2 linked regions of the Oreochromis niloticus genome follow. The protein of the gene in region 1 interacts with the protein of each later gene in a biochemical or structural test. Links are inferred from orthologs where the notes say so. Each region holds a gene or a part of one and is shown on either strand. Other genes may lie near its edges. The genes, in order: arhgap1 and bnip2.

What was found.
Region 2: the proteins of arhgap1 (region 1) and bnip2 form a complex in vitro, tested with the Homo sapiens proteins (2 studies listed by BioGRID). The link is inferred for Oreochromis niloticus from reciprocal best matches to the Homo sapiens genes ARHGAP1 and BNIP2.

What each region holds. Positions count from the first base shown.
Region 1 is NC_031986.2:1,875,926-1,883,197, forward strand, and holds the start of arhgap1 (rho GTPase-activating protein 1), read right to left. Parts: upstream 3,161-7,272; 5' UTR 3,017-3,160; intron 2,601-3,016; exon of another isoform or gene 2,586-2,600; intron 1-2,585. Other genes in the region: arl6ip6 (ADP-ribosylation factor-like protein 6-interacting protein 6), read left to right, coding at 4,381-4,522, 6,087-6,140, 6,717-6,849. UniProt on the Homo sapiens protein: GTPase activator for the Rho, Rac and Cdc42 proteins, converting them to the putatively inactive GDP-bound state. Cdc42 seems to be the preferred substrate.
Region 2 is NC_031972.2:52,314,003-52,321,688, forward strand, and holds the start of bnip2 (BCL2/adenovirus E1B 19 kDa protein-interacting protein 2), read right to left. Parts: upstream 3,137-7,686; 5' UTR 3,041-3,136; intron 2,861-3,040; exon of another isoform or gene 2,120-2,860; 5' UTR 2,038-2,119; coding exon 1,673-2,037; intron 1-1,672.

The sequences.
Region 1 (7,272 bases):
TGACAGCTCTGGATTCAAAATACAAGAACACTGTTTACTTTCGTGGCTTTCAGTCCTATTGTCTGCACTGGATGATCTGTTGCTATTTGCCTAATTTATTGTGCCTATTTGGCTTTTTTTTTTTTAAGTTGAGAAGCACTGAAAATATGTAATGCTAAAGTTTCCGAGCTCTATGATAGAAAAAAAAAAAAAGCAGAGAAACCTCAAGTTTCAGGATCATCTCTCTGATGGTGGAGGAGACACCAAGTGTAAATAGTCAGAGGTCAGGAGAAGAGGAACCAGTATGTGAAACATGCAGAGTTTCACAGGGACTGCAAGGACTACGGTTTGTGAGCAGGGTATAAGGGTTAGCCTTGAAAGCCGATTTCCACCTCACTGCTCAGTTTAAAGTAGGTTTCTTTGCGTTTGCTTCTTTTTTAAACCAGATAGTTGCATCCTTAGTGTCGACAAGGTTAGTTCAGGATAGGATCTGATAGGGCAGGGGTGTCAAACTCAAGTCCTTGAGGGCTGGTGTCCTGAAACTTTTAAATGTGCCGCTGCTGCAACACACCTGTGAAAGAATTAGTAGGTCATTAGCAAGACCTATTAGCTATAGAACGTACGGTTACTCTGTAACCTTGATTCTCTGAGTGCGAGACTCTCTCCACTCTGTTACAAATGTTGACAATGTTGAATCTTGTGTATCTTTACCCATGCAGTGTATCCAGCCACAACACCATGTATGCATGAGGCACTGTTTGTGGATCGTGTTGCACTACCCACATCTGTGCATATATATATATATGCACACACACACACGGATAGATAGATAAAGCCACTTTGTGTACATATGAGCATCTAACAGAAGCATCCAGCAAGCACAGTACCCAGCCCCCTCTATTCCTCTTTTCTCTCAGCACTGCAGAGCAGCTGAGGAGAGCAGTTTGGTCAGAGCATGCTCCAGGGGCTCAGGAAATGATTCCTAAGAAAGCTCTAGTGCAGGAAAAAGCCATGGAGTAACACAGTATTATTACTGAGCATTTCTACATGTGAAACACTACTCTACTTATTTTATGCTTTTATGGCATTTCAGCTTCAGTAGTCTAAATACTACCTAAGGGTTCATCCCTAACAGCAGCATGCACCATCAAATATGCAAAAAAAACATAATACTGGCATGTACATGCAGCAGCAGCAACAGTCACACTCTCCATTTCTCTCACACACGCACACGTACCTGCAGTAACATTTCTGCACCACAACACACCCCACAGTTTCTAATGCCGACCAGAGACTGACACTGAGCTTAAACTCCAATCACCTCTAGCTGGGGAACTTCATTTTATGTTCTTTTTTTAACTACCTGAGGGATGCCACAAAAAGAAGAAGAACCTGAACAATGGCAACCAAAAAGCCCACAAAAAAGCAACCACTGTTTCTGACATGCCATATATTTAAGGAACAGCTCATTTCATCTTCCTGCATGGTATCCATGCAATTCACTGATGTTTGCAATCACTGCTACAGCTTTCATTTCATCACAGCTTTAGCCCCAGTCTTCTTGGTGGGTTACATTTATTTATAAAATGTACTTTAAGATGTTTATACTTTAGAGGCCTTTTCAGTCATGATCACCTAACACTGCTGGCTTCTTGAATCAGTCAAAATGATGACACTGTGCCTTTCAGGCAAGGGTCACTTTTACATTCAGGTTTGGTAAATTTCACAGGCGTAGAGTTGCTGTGACAAAGGCATGAGACTGAACTTTGCAGCTAGTAATATTAATATAACTGAGGTCGCAACTATACTTAAAAACATTCGGTGGCTGAACGTTGTAAAACTGTCCGTGTCTGTCTGTTAATGTGACTCCACACATTCACACAAGTACCAGACCAATCAGTGTTATCAGGTCCAGCATAAGAGCGGTGCACTCCAGAGTTTTAAGGTAAATGACCACGATGCTTTTTCAGATATGAAGCACGCAGTCAGGCAAGGTCTGACTGTGACTGGTGTCCCGGGTTGTTAAAGTGCTGAGGTTACTTTTAATATTTCTAAAATCCTTTCTAAAGCCCAGAGATGATCCAATCCAAATAATTAGCTCAACCAGAGAAAAGAAAGGCACAACTATAAAAGGACTGTTGGCTTATCCTGTCACAAGACAGCAGAACGTGTCATTTTTTTAATCACCTCTATTTTAAGCAGAATAGTTTCGCATTCTGTTTGCCATTCAGAACCTCCGCCTGCCACCAGGACAGTTTACTGCAGAGGGTGTAGCTCAAAGACACCATCAGCCTGATTCTGTAACCTCTGCGTCACTATGAAAGTACACCCAGAGGCTGTCTCATTATTTTTTAATGTAGTTTTCCAGTAAATACCAATCATAACCAATAAACTACAAAATACACTGTAGTGTGTAAGTGGAAGGGACATCACTCCAAGCTATGAAAACACAGATGCACTACCATAACACGATAATGTGTGATATATACACATTTTTGAAGTGAGACGTCATCTTTGGGAAAATGCTACGAATGGGGGAAGAGCATTAAACCAGAACGGAGTTTGGCGGGCGGGCTGAGCTGACACCTTCACTGCTGGCAGTCCAGTGATAAAAGCAACAGGTGAGCAGCTGACCTCTTTTACTTTTACCAAACAGTTCAGCAGGAGAAACCTTTCAGTGTCATTAGCTGCTGATTCAGAAAAGCTAAACAGGCTAACGCAGCCACACTCGCTGGTCATTATCACACAGCGAAACGCCTCAGCAAACCGCCTAGCAAGATGGCTCGGCTAAATTCACCATATTCGGCACACGGATGCACGTTTTATAAACAGCCTTTTATACGCTGTGAGGCTTCAGTAACTGAAACGACGCTTAGTTGGGCTAAACCAGAACACCGCAGTGTTAACAAATGACCTCATCACAACAAATTAGCCCCACAACACCCGACTAACAACGCACGAGCATCACAGCGCGTGAGCCCCGCGTGCTTCTAACATCTTCAGTTTCTACCAAACAGCATCATGAAATTTGTTTTACCGTAATAGTCCAGCTACTCCGTTACAACCGATTCACTTTGTGGCGTCTGAAGTCAACGTAGACTGTTGTCGTCAACAAACCTGCGTCAGCAACTCTTCCGGTTTGTTGTTTTCAAAATAAAGCTATCAATTCAGTTTTTGTTTACTATACCTGTCAAAATAAAAGTGCTAAAAAAAAGAGAAAGCGTCCCCGTGGTGTTTTAGTAATAGGTCTGAGTCTAAAGTATGACAAGCTGATTCTATTGTGTCTATCTATATCTATTATTCTAATGATAATATTCTATTTTACACACAGACCAATGGCGTGAATTGTAACTGCGATGCCGCTCAGCCAATTAAATAATTTATTCAGAGCGCGTGAGAAAACAAAATTGTGGGAGGAGACAGAAGAGGGTTAAAGCTGAGATAGCTCAAAGTACACCTTTTTATGATTTTTTAAATTAATTTTAAAACAATTACTGTTTTAATTAAGTACTTTATTTAAAAACAACTAATTCAACAGTTCTTTTTTTTATTTTTGAAAGCATACTTGAAACAAGAGAATCCGATCATTACTGTTATGCATGTTATAATAGAGTACCTTTCAGATCATTATGAAAATGATTAATGGTGTTGCTGTGGACTCACGGATACAACTGTGCGGCTACTTCAAAATATACTGCTAACGATGCATGAGGAGCTTTATAATCTTTAGGACATTTGTTTGAGGAAACTCTCTATTAAATAAAAGAGAAAGCGGTTTAGAATAAAAAATATGAAAATGTTAATTGTTGGAGCAATTCAGCAGATAAAACAGGCCAACACGTATCAACATACAATCAGTGCAGATTACTATCAGCCAATCAGTGTTACAAATTTCCATCCATTCTCTTCCGCTTATCCAGCTCAGGTTCGCCGGGGGCTGGAGCCTATCCCAGCTGTCTTAGGGCGAGAGGCTCACACAGATTTTGAGGCACAAAATCTTTGCAACACCTGTGAAGAGTGAAACATGGTAAACTGTTCTTTCTGCCTGATACTTTACCACAACTGAATTTAAAAGAAACAGACATAAAACCATTTAAAAGACTGTAAGTGGCCTAGCTAAGCTTGTTTCCACATATTTAACTGTGGCAGTTTAAACTACACCAACGGAACCCCCTCGGGGACAATTTTGTGTGCGGAAGCGAAAAGTTCAAACATGTAATCAGCAGTTCCTGGTACAAGTTAAAAGCAGTCGGGTCGTCACTGTGAGCATGTCATCGGTGTGACGTAGAGTCTGTGAATTCACATGCTGTGTATGAAGAAAGCTTTGTTCTGCTGAGCGCGGCTGTGGAAAAGTTTGGTTTGCAGACATTTTCATTTGTTCATTTGAGTGAGCAGCGTTACATGTTGGGACAGGAGCCTGCCAGGAGCGCGAGGCGGAACGGTCCCAAACCATGGCCCGTGGTCGCGCTGTCGGTGCTGGGCTCGGCCGGAGCAGTGGCCGCGGTCGGGTTTCTCTGCGCCCTTATCTACCCCATACTCAAAGGTAAGCGCGCGGCCCTGTACCTCACGCGCAAATCAGGATCAGATCAGTGGGATCAGAAAAGGAAAAGACTGTTTTTACTGTAGGATGATCGGTCAATCCAAAGGGATATTTATAATATAGTCATCACCAGCAAATGCTTTTGTACGAAGTGTTAAATACATTTGTTCAATAATTTTTCATTATTACACATAATAATGAATAAATGCACATCTGTGGATGATTTCTTTGCATGTGTGCACTGGATGGGTTGTTGCCGACAGCTGGTGAGAATTTCATGTCAGTAACACCTTATAACATCTTAAGAAATATATTTACTTAGAAAACTGCTGACATGTCAAATATGTATTATATCATTGTAATATATTAAATCATATATATATATATATATATATATATATATATATATATATAAATATATGTATGAAGAGGTCGCTAGGAAAGCTGCAACCACCAAGTACCTGCAGTGCGTCAGGCAAGTCCTGAGGATCCTCAGCAACTTCAGGCTGTATGTGAAGCAGAAAGGAGGAGGCCAGGGACTGGTGAGTGTCAGTACCACTTTCCAGGATGAAACAAACTTCCATGAGTACATCAGGAAGATGTCCACAACCAACTGTGTGCTCAGTGAATACCTCATGCAGCAGAAACCCAAGAAAGAGGAGGAACCATCATGGTAGGACCAGCAGACAGAGGAGGTGGCTGACATCCAGAATCCTACCAGTTGCTGGACAAAGCTGGACTGAAAGACAGCACAGAGGCACTAATCATGGCAGCACAGGAACAAGCTCTGAGTACAAGATCCATAGAGGCTGGGGTCTATCACACCAGGCAAGACCCCAGGTGCAGGCTGTGTAAAGATGCCCCTGAGACAATCTAGCACATAACAGCAGGGAGCAAGATGCTAGCAGGCAGGGCATACATGGAACGCCATAACCAAGTGGCCGGCATAGTGTACAGGAACATCTGTACCGAGTATGGCCTGGAAGTCCTGAGGTCAAAATGGGAGACGCCCCCAAGGGTGGTGGAGAATGACCGAGCTAAGATCCTGTGGGACTTCCAGATACAGACAGACAAAAATGGTGGTGGCTAACCAACCGGACATAGTGGTGGTAGACAAACAGAAGAAGACAGCCGTAGTGATAGATGTAGGGGTTTTGAATGACAGCAACATCAGGAAGAAGCAGAAGTACCAAGGGCTCAGAGAAGAGCTTGAGATTGTGTGGAGGTTGAAGGTAACAGTGGTCCCCGTGGTAATCGGAGCACTGGGTGCAGTGACTCCCAAGCTAGGCGAGTGGGTCCAGCAGATCCCGGGAACAACATCAGAGATCTCTGTCCAGAAGAGCGCAGTCCTGGGAAGAGCTAAGATACTGCACAGGACCCTCAAGCTCCCAGGCCTCTGGTAGAGGACCCGAGCTTGAAGGATAGACCGCCTGCAGGGGCGAGTGGGGAATTTTTATATTTATATAATATATATATATATGTACATATGCTTGTCTGGCACAGGACCAGATAAGATCTAGCTTTTTAACAAATGTTGGTCAGCATAAGTGACTTTTGATTGTTTCAGAGCTGCGGGCAGAGAGGGTGACAGGAGAGGATGGCACTGAAGAGAAGATGCTCGGTAAGTATAAGCTCTGTATTTACTGCTCCGTCCAGGTACTTGTGTTCACCATCATGCTCGGTTTACACTTTCTTTGGTTACATGTGCATCACATATACTGAGAGAAAGCTCTAATACCATGTTTCAACATTTCTGAAAAGTACTGTACAAAGTAACTGGTGTAAATATCTGAGGGCTGCAGCCAACAGTTAGGTTTCATTACTTATTATTCTGCAAAATCCTAGAAACTAATCTTTATTAAAGTAACAAAAGAGATCCACATATTCAACAACTTTGCCATAGACATGTTTATTTAGACTGTGGGTCACCTGCTGTCCAAGAGTTCTGGGTTTTTTGTATATACTGTTTTTTATTGTAACACCAAAACAAAAACTAATCATGTTTTATCAGTACGGAGAAGAGTGGAAGCAGTCAAACACAGTGTGACAAGGATGATGTTCTGGCTTTCAACATCACAATAAGCGGCCAGAAAAGCCAAGTTGCTACAACAGTGGTTTCTCTCTTATTGTGTAAAACAAGGGAAGAGATCCAGGCTGTAGAAACTGTAAATCCTGATCCTGCACTGTGTGTAATCAGGTTTCTGGAGTATCCTGGTCCTGTCAGTATTAGTAGGATGCATCTGCTGTGGGTTCTCGTGGATGCTCACCTACCTTGACTCATTCCAGCCTGGTATGGAATTCCCAACACTGCGGACAGTGGCCCACTTCAGGTAACACACTTGGATACGCTTTGTATGAGTATATAAATCAGGTATTCTCCCTTATAATGCTGATTTCTTACACATGTGTGTTTTTTTTCTTAAACTTCTGTTCTTCAGATCAAACAAATTTGAATATTACACAAAGAAAACCTGAGTAAATACCAAGTGCAGTTTTCATTTATTAAGAAAATCTATCCTAATCTACCTGGTCCCTAAACTCTTCTAAACTAAAGTAACTGGCCCTTGTTCCAGCATGAACAGCCTGTTTAAGGCCAAACAATCTCAATCTGATTTCAGGCTGGACTTTGACTGGGTCACTCCCAAACCTTCATTTATTTATTGAGCCATTCAGAGGTGGACTTGCTGCTGTGTTTTGGGGACTTCACACTCCAACAGATGCATTAGAGCAGCGGTCCCCAACCCCCGGGCCTC
Region 2 (7,686 bases), on another chromosome or scaffold:
AGTCAAAAGGAAAAGATGACAGAAATTTTAAAGGTGTAATTATTATACTTAGCATAATAAAGAACTAAATTAATATAGATATCAGTGGGGGATGGTTCAACTATGGAAAACTTTAAAGATGGAATGCTAATTTGTTTAAATAAAGCTCAAGGCAAAATTAAATGTGTTACCAGTTAAATGAGAAGTCATTTTTTGTATTCATAACTTCAACATAAATGAAACAAATACAAGATTATTATAAGATTATCGTTGCATCTACATTCATTTTTGCTGCGTTTTTTTCCTGTTTTAGTTATGTGAAAGGTTTAAGTCTGTTACTATTCTTTATTAGCTTTATAGCTCCCTCCAATTAATATTCACAATACTTCCAATAAAATGGCTGATCAAGCGTTAAAAAATACAGCCCTGAGAGGTGTAGAGCAAAGTGCACTAATATCTATAAGTAGAGAAAACTATCAATTTCACATCTTAACCAGTTCAGAAGTTAGACAAACCTTTGTATATGAACAGTTTGGCTAAACTGAAACAGCTTTTTCTGAACTTAAGATCTCCAAAGTAATCTAATGGTCCTGAATTAGTTTCGGGATGGCTGGGTTCCAACAGTTTCTGGCAAGATGTTGAAAACAAATATTTTTAGAGCACAATACGAGTGCTACAAAGATGCAGATGAACTCTGAGGTTAAATGATGACATTTTTGGAAGTTGACTCCTGGACAAGCAATTTTCAAGATTACTGCAAAAAAATTGTACTTATAGGTGTGTGTTTTTAATTATTTTTTAAAAATAGTTTAGAAATGTTTTAGAGCTCGAGTATCCACACCATGTCAAGTTGCTTATTTTTTGCTGCACAAAAGACTTTACTGACAAATATCTAATAAGAGAAGTGGAATGAAGACGCAGGAGTGATTGGCTCCCAGTAAACAATATGTATTGACAAAAAATGGTTAAGGATAGGTTGCTTGTCAATTCTGAAATCCATACCTTTGACACATCCTCCTGAAGAGGACCAGTGTTGTGCTAAAAAGTGACTGCCAATTTCTCTGTGTTCTTTTTTATGCATCTAATATCTTTACTTAAGTTGATGAACAGGCTGTCATGAGCAGAATTTTAAAAAAGGGGGTTATATATAAAATAAAGTAATGACCTGGTTGTATGATTCTGCAATATTGTACCTACTCTGTGTTCTATATTATAACCAACCCAGCCAGTCAGCCAATTAAAAAAGCTTTAAAGAAATGTTACATTTGTTGCAATTCCCCCTTCCCTCTTGAAAATTGAATTTTTAATGTCAACGAGACTTTCTACCAGAATAAATAAAAGGATATATAAAAGTCACTCTGCCAAAAACTGATTTCAGCTTCTACTTTATGATACTTTTCTGACTGAAAATGGCTTGTTATCATTCATGAGAGACATGTATGAGATACATTTCACAGACTGTAGGCCATGATACAACGCTCTTTGGCCTATCCCAACTGACACAGGTCGTTACACTGCGCTATAACCAACACAAAGGCAGACACACAAACACAGTCACATGTACACCTACGTCCACTTTAGAACCACCGACATAAGTATCGTTTGACTCTGGGAGTGACTAAACCATATCTGTGCTAATGTTTTCATAGTTTGCTTCTATGTAAGGAAAACACAAAAATGTCCAAATACACACCTTCCAGTGGCTCCAGCTGGTGAGCGTGGCTGGGGAACGCTCACCGGGGTAGAGCTTTTTCCTCGTTGTTTCTGCACATTGTCTGGAGTCTTCCTTTCCTGTGGCGTACCGCTTGTTTTGGTTAGACTGTCTTGAAACTCCTCTTCGCCCTTTTCTGGAGCAGAAGCTGTGGTATTTTGCAATTCGTCTGTTTCCTCGTCATCGCCTTCTCCCGATACACCGGATGATGACGGGCTGGACGTCTGTCTGTTTCCCAAATCCTCAAGAGTCCCCCTGGGTGTGACAGTATCTGGGCTGCTATTGTTCAAATTCATATCACTTACACCCTTCAGCACCGCTTCACTCTCAATCACATCCGATGCCATAAGTTTCTCCGGTTGTCCCGGTGGTACAGCAGATCAGAGTTAAAGAGTCCGACCGTGAAATGCTTTAATCACCGTTCAGCTCCTTGACCAAATCAACCAGAAAGAAAAATCTGACTTACACAACTTCTTTGGAAGTTTGTGGCTAACAGGATAGCTCTCGTCTGCTGTACAGCTAGCCCAGAGACGTGGCGCTAGCAGCTAGCTATGCCAACTAACAGCATATCTCATTAACCAAACAGTGTCAAATATCACGCTAAGTCTACAGATAGTCACCTTTTCTAAATGCGTCACGGTGTTAACTCAAGAGTCCTATAGAGTTCTAGCTTTGCAGGAGCATAGGTGCGCAGTTATCCCACTTATCAGTTTCCTTCCTTCCTTCCTCCAAGTCCAGAGGGCTCTCCGGTGGACGTAACACATTCAGTCAGGCTAGCTTTGGAGCTAGCAAAGTTTAGCCACGACAAAACAAGCTTTGTATTCCAATTAACGCCGTCTATGAGCTAAAAAAGAAATATTTCGGCAGTTATCAACTACAGCTCAACGTAAGGACAGTCTTTTCTTGGACCCATGTTAAATACAAAGACTACTTCCTTTTAATTTGCCGACACACGAGCCTCGGCTACTAAACGGCAGAAGTTAACTGTTTGCTAACAACGCCTAGCTCTATCATAGTGTATATGCATACAGTTTATGGTCAGCGGAGTTGCCAGTTGTGTTTCCTGCAGGTTCTTCGGCATAAACGACCCAGTTCGTGGTTACGTGTAAAATTTATGAATTTATTTTTTGTATGCAAGCACACAAAAGCACGCTAAATTTAATTAAAATGTCATTTTGGTGCACTGTAAGCTTTTCTTTTAACTGGCCCGCTGCGACCACGAGTTACATAATGATATTATATTTTCAAAACTGAAACTTCTTTTTGGGTGTCCCACATAAAATAAAGTTAGTAAAATGTAGATAAAAAGTATGTAATAATAATGATAAAAAACAAAACAACGTAATATACCTAGAGTTATTGGCTCAGACTGCTCTGGTCCGTGGAAAACGAGCAAATCTGGCACCCCTAATAGCAATGGTCCTTCCATGAGCCGCAGAAGCGTCTCTACCCTAGCAAGCTTCACTGCCCTCTGCTGATACTGGAAACATAGAAATGACACGGTATAGACTACACAGTCTGGTTCACACACGTCTCTAATCCAGCTCTGTTGTCCAAACTGTATTTCTTGCTTTCATCTCGCTACCCATTAGTGATTTGTGCAGCAGTGGGTTAAAGGTTAAAAACCGCAACGTGTTGATTTCGTGTAATGATTTATACTAGGAATCGCACTGTTCTCTCTTACAGTGGGAAGTAACTGCTAGTTAGTCAGTCAAGCCAAAGTATTTTTATTTTTTACTTTTTATTTTTATTCAATTTATTTAATAAGCATTAATGAGACTGTGTCTGAAAAGGCAACACTGTAAAAAGAGTTTGTGTTATGATAGATTTCATTACATTAGGGCAGTAACATTTATACCTAATCTAGCTAATAATCTCTTAGCTAATAAGGTTACACAAATAAGTAACTCTGAGCGCAATTCATTTTTAAAAAGATATGTAATCGGATTATAGTCACTTCGTCAGTGATTACTTGATTATCCTTTCAGTAAATATTTAAAATATGACTTTTTTCATCATTACCAATGAAATAATGAAGCTGTTGAAGTGCATACTTGTGACTTGTCTTGTATAGTAGGCCTCTGTTTTTGCAAGGCTAATTTGGTTTGACTAACTGTAAATGCTGAATATGCAAAGTTCTTCTGTTTGCATAGAAAAGAAAAGCATTATTGTGTAAGTCAAATTTTTTGAAGCTCTATCCATCTCTTTCAAAGAAATTCAAAGTTCATGGATTTAGTTATTAACTACATGAAATAATGTCACTTGAGGTCAGTAGCTGACTATATTGCAAAGTAAACTGAACCAGTCCTGTGTATAATGCAATGGCATTGGTATTTTAGAAGCCCTCTCTGTTTTATCAGCTTTCTACCTTCTACATATTTAATGACTTTAAAAAACAAAAATTGGGTGCACAAGTTTGAATTTGAATTTATTTTACTCTTTCTTGGCAAAGAGTTCATTTAAATTGGTTGGTTTCCTGGCACTGACCCAGTTTTCAAACGTAGTCCACAAATTTTCAATAGAGTTTTGGTCAGAGCCTTGGAAAGGTCATACCACTTGCTTTATCCATTCCAAAACCAGCTTTGATGCATGCTTTGGATCATTGTCCTGTTAGAACACCCAACTGTGTCCACGTTTCAACAATCAACAGTTGTTGATTTGAGATGAAGCTGAAGAATTTTGAGGTAGTCCTCCTGCATTATTTCTTTCACTTTGTGCAATGTACCAGTGCTACTGATAGCAAAACAATCCTAGAACATGACGATATCACTACCAAGTTTGACAGCTGGTTCAGTGTTATTAGGTTTGAAAGTTTCACTTTTATTGTGAAACTCAAACATAGCTCTTTACTGTGATCACATAGATCAATCTTTTTGGTCAGATAGTGTTTCTCCAGACTTTTCTCCAGAAGGCATTTGGCTTGTCCATGTGGGCAGCTGTAAATTTCAGTCAAGCTGAAAGGTGTTGATTTTGGAGCAGAGGCTCCCTTCTTGGTCAGCACCGTCACAGGCTGGAGTTTTGTTTGTTCTTGGGTTGTTCTTGAACATCCTAACATATTTCCTCTTATCTGAGGGTGACAGTTTGGGCACTTCTTCTAGATTTTGGCAAAGTGGTGACACATCCAAAGAACCTGCACTGCACTTGTTTAAACTGATGATCTTGGAGTCTGCAGTTGCTTAGAAAGGTCCCCAAGACCTTTGCAGCTTATGTAAATCTACAACTTTCCTTCTTCACTGAGCTCCTTAGACATTCCCATTTTAAAAGTGTTGTTCGGTCCAATTAGTGCTCTCAAAGAAACCCTTTTTATGCTGGTGATGAGAAATTAGCAGTTGTAGTCAACTGTGATCACTAATGAGAACCTTCAGCACCATTTATTTAAAAAATAAATTAAAAATACAATTAAAAATGAAGTTTATGTATATGTTAAGAGTCTGTATGTATACTTTTGGCTGTGTGGATTAGAGAAAATCCAAACTATATTCAAACTTGTGCACCCAGTACTTGTTTGTTAAAGTCATTAAAGATGCATACTGTACAATCAGTTCACCTGGGAAAAAGATCAGTTCAAAGAAATAATTTAAAGATGTTATTGTATTAACATAATTAAAAAATCGAAAACTATTACAAATAAAAAAAAATACAATCTTTTAATTATTCATGACATATAATAGAAACAATATGTGGTTTCTACCAGCAGAATTCCAGTCTTTACAGTAGTCATTGAATATTTATTGGCAGCTCTAGCCTCAGTAACCAACATTTACCACTAGGTGGAGGCAAATGCTTACTTAAATGTTGTAGTTTAGGGGGACGCCTTTATTGATTAAAATCTGCCATGAACTGTGCAACATCCAAATTAGGCAAAGTCTGAGATTTATTCAGAAGTAACTGCCAGCTGCAGCCACAATTACAAGGCCCTTTCCATAATATTTTCCAAATTAAAAAACAAATTAGGAAAGACATACGAATTGAGGAATAATTACATTAGTGAACAGCATGTACATATTTTTGAAAATAGTTAATTTCAGTAGAATATAATTTCAGTCACACCTAGGGGTGGTTTTATTTATAGGCATTGCTGGTCAGTTGGCACTTTTGGAGCATATTAGCTACATCGGAAATAATATATATATATTTTTTTAGATATATTATTTTTACAAGAAAAGAAAAAACAACTCTGAGTATAATATAATGATGCAGCCCGATTAATACCTCCTCTGTGTGCAGCGGATCATTCACTGTAATTTCTAATTAACACTTTGCTATTTACTCTGCTGGATCATTAGGCCTCATCACAAAAGGATAATCCAGTCAAATTGAGAGTTTATGCTTCCCTTTCACCTTCCAACATGGCACTACATGCTAATAAGGCAAGTTGAAATTATCTAACAAATTAAGACAAATGTTGGCTGTTTAGCCAAGGAAAATATACTGAGCCAAGGAATACCAATTTATCTTAAATATTTATAAATGATGTGATGACTTTTTATTTTTTTTATAATTTTCTTCTGGAAATATTTTAGGAAATCCAAATGCTGTGGATTTGTGTTGCACTCTCTTTTTTTTGGTATATCTTTTTCTTCAATATACAGTTAAGTACCAGGAAGCAGGCATTCAGAGTACAGTAGGTCCACCGGAGCCCAGCATTGGGTTAAAACAGTAAAATCTAAAAGAGCATTGTCTGATGGATAATATGTCAGGATTAGTCCTCCTTTTAAAAGTAATACACAAACTTGGGATCTGCAGCCGACCCCGCCTTTCATCCTGAAAGGATGGGATGAATGTTAGGATCAGAAATGCAGGCTGTATCCTATTTGTGAAGCAGAATCATTAGGAAGGTTCTCCGACCAATTTCCATAAGTGGGGTAGCGGGAAGTATTTAGGCTACTCGAAGTATATCACTAATGAGAAAAGACAAAAAGGATTCATGTGCATGTTTTATGCAATCTCTTTTTGGGTGTAGATGAATAATTATTTATGATTGCAAAGCCTAAAAGGGAGGCAAGAAGATAGCAACTGCAAAGAGACTGGTAAAAAATTTAAAGAGGAAGTTAAATGAATATTTAAGGGAAGATGAAATATTTAATGGAAACAAATGAGCAAAACATTTAAAACAGCATGATAAATAGTAGAGACTGCTATTAAAATGGCCCCCATAATTTGTGCTATTTGCTACAGTAGCCGCAAGGTCTCAGTCGCACTTGTAATGGTGTGAACCGAGGACTCTGACAATTGTTTTCACCGTGCCAGTCAGTGTACGAGGACTCTGTGTCTGTAACCCTGAGATGACCTCCTGTCTGAGAAATATTAGCCTTTGATTCATCGTAGTTTGTATTGATGCCACAAGGAAGAAACATTTTATGTTTTATTGACTGTCTTCGCGTTGAGGTTATGGTTTAAAAAAACACAATTGTCTGAATTTGGTTCCAGATAATTTCTCAAGAGATATTTTCTGAAAAGAAGTTTTCAGTCATTCTTTTAGTCTGACACTCACCTGCATACATCAAAAGAAAAAAAAAGAGATCCAAAGTATGTACCAGCACGCATTCATTTGTTTTCCAAATGTGAAAATAATTAAATCAGCAAACAAATAATTATTCAAGTCAATGAGAACAATTATCTCAAAGACGCCTCTGAGACTTGGATGTGCATACTGAACTGATTAATTATCTTGCTGAAGCTAATTGAGTGGAGCTAGATCTTTGACTGCTTTCCCTCAATATGCCTCCCTTTTGATCACGTGAGGAATATCGTGTGCACCATGCAAAATGTGGTCGAGAAATGCCCCAGTAAATGCCAAGGTGTAATGGCATAGTAATGGCAGTTTAAGAACTATGTTTAGTATTTTGCAGATCTCCTGCTCTACAGCTGCATGACATTATTCCTCTATGGTTCATAAGGAAAAAAGCTAAAAATGTCCGTGAATAGAAAAAAAAAGCATGCACACCTCTTATGAATTTTAAGTTTCACCACATATTCAAATTTTTTATTAAACT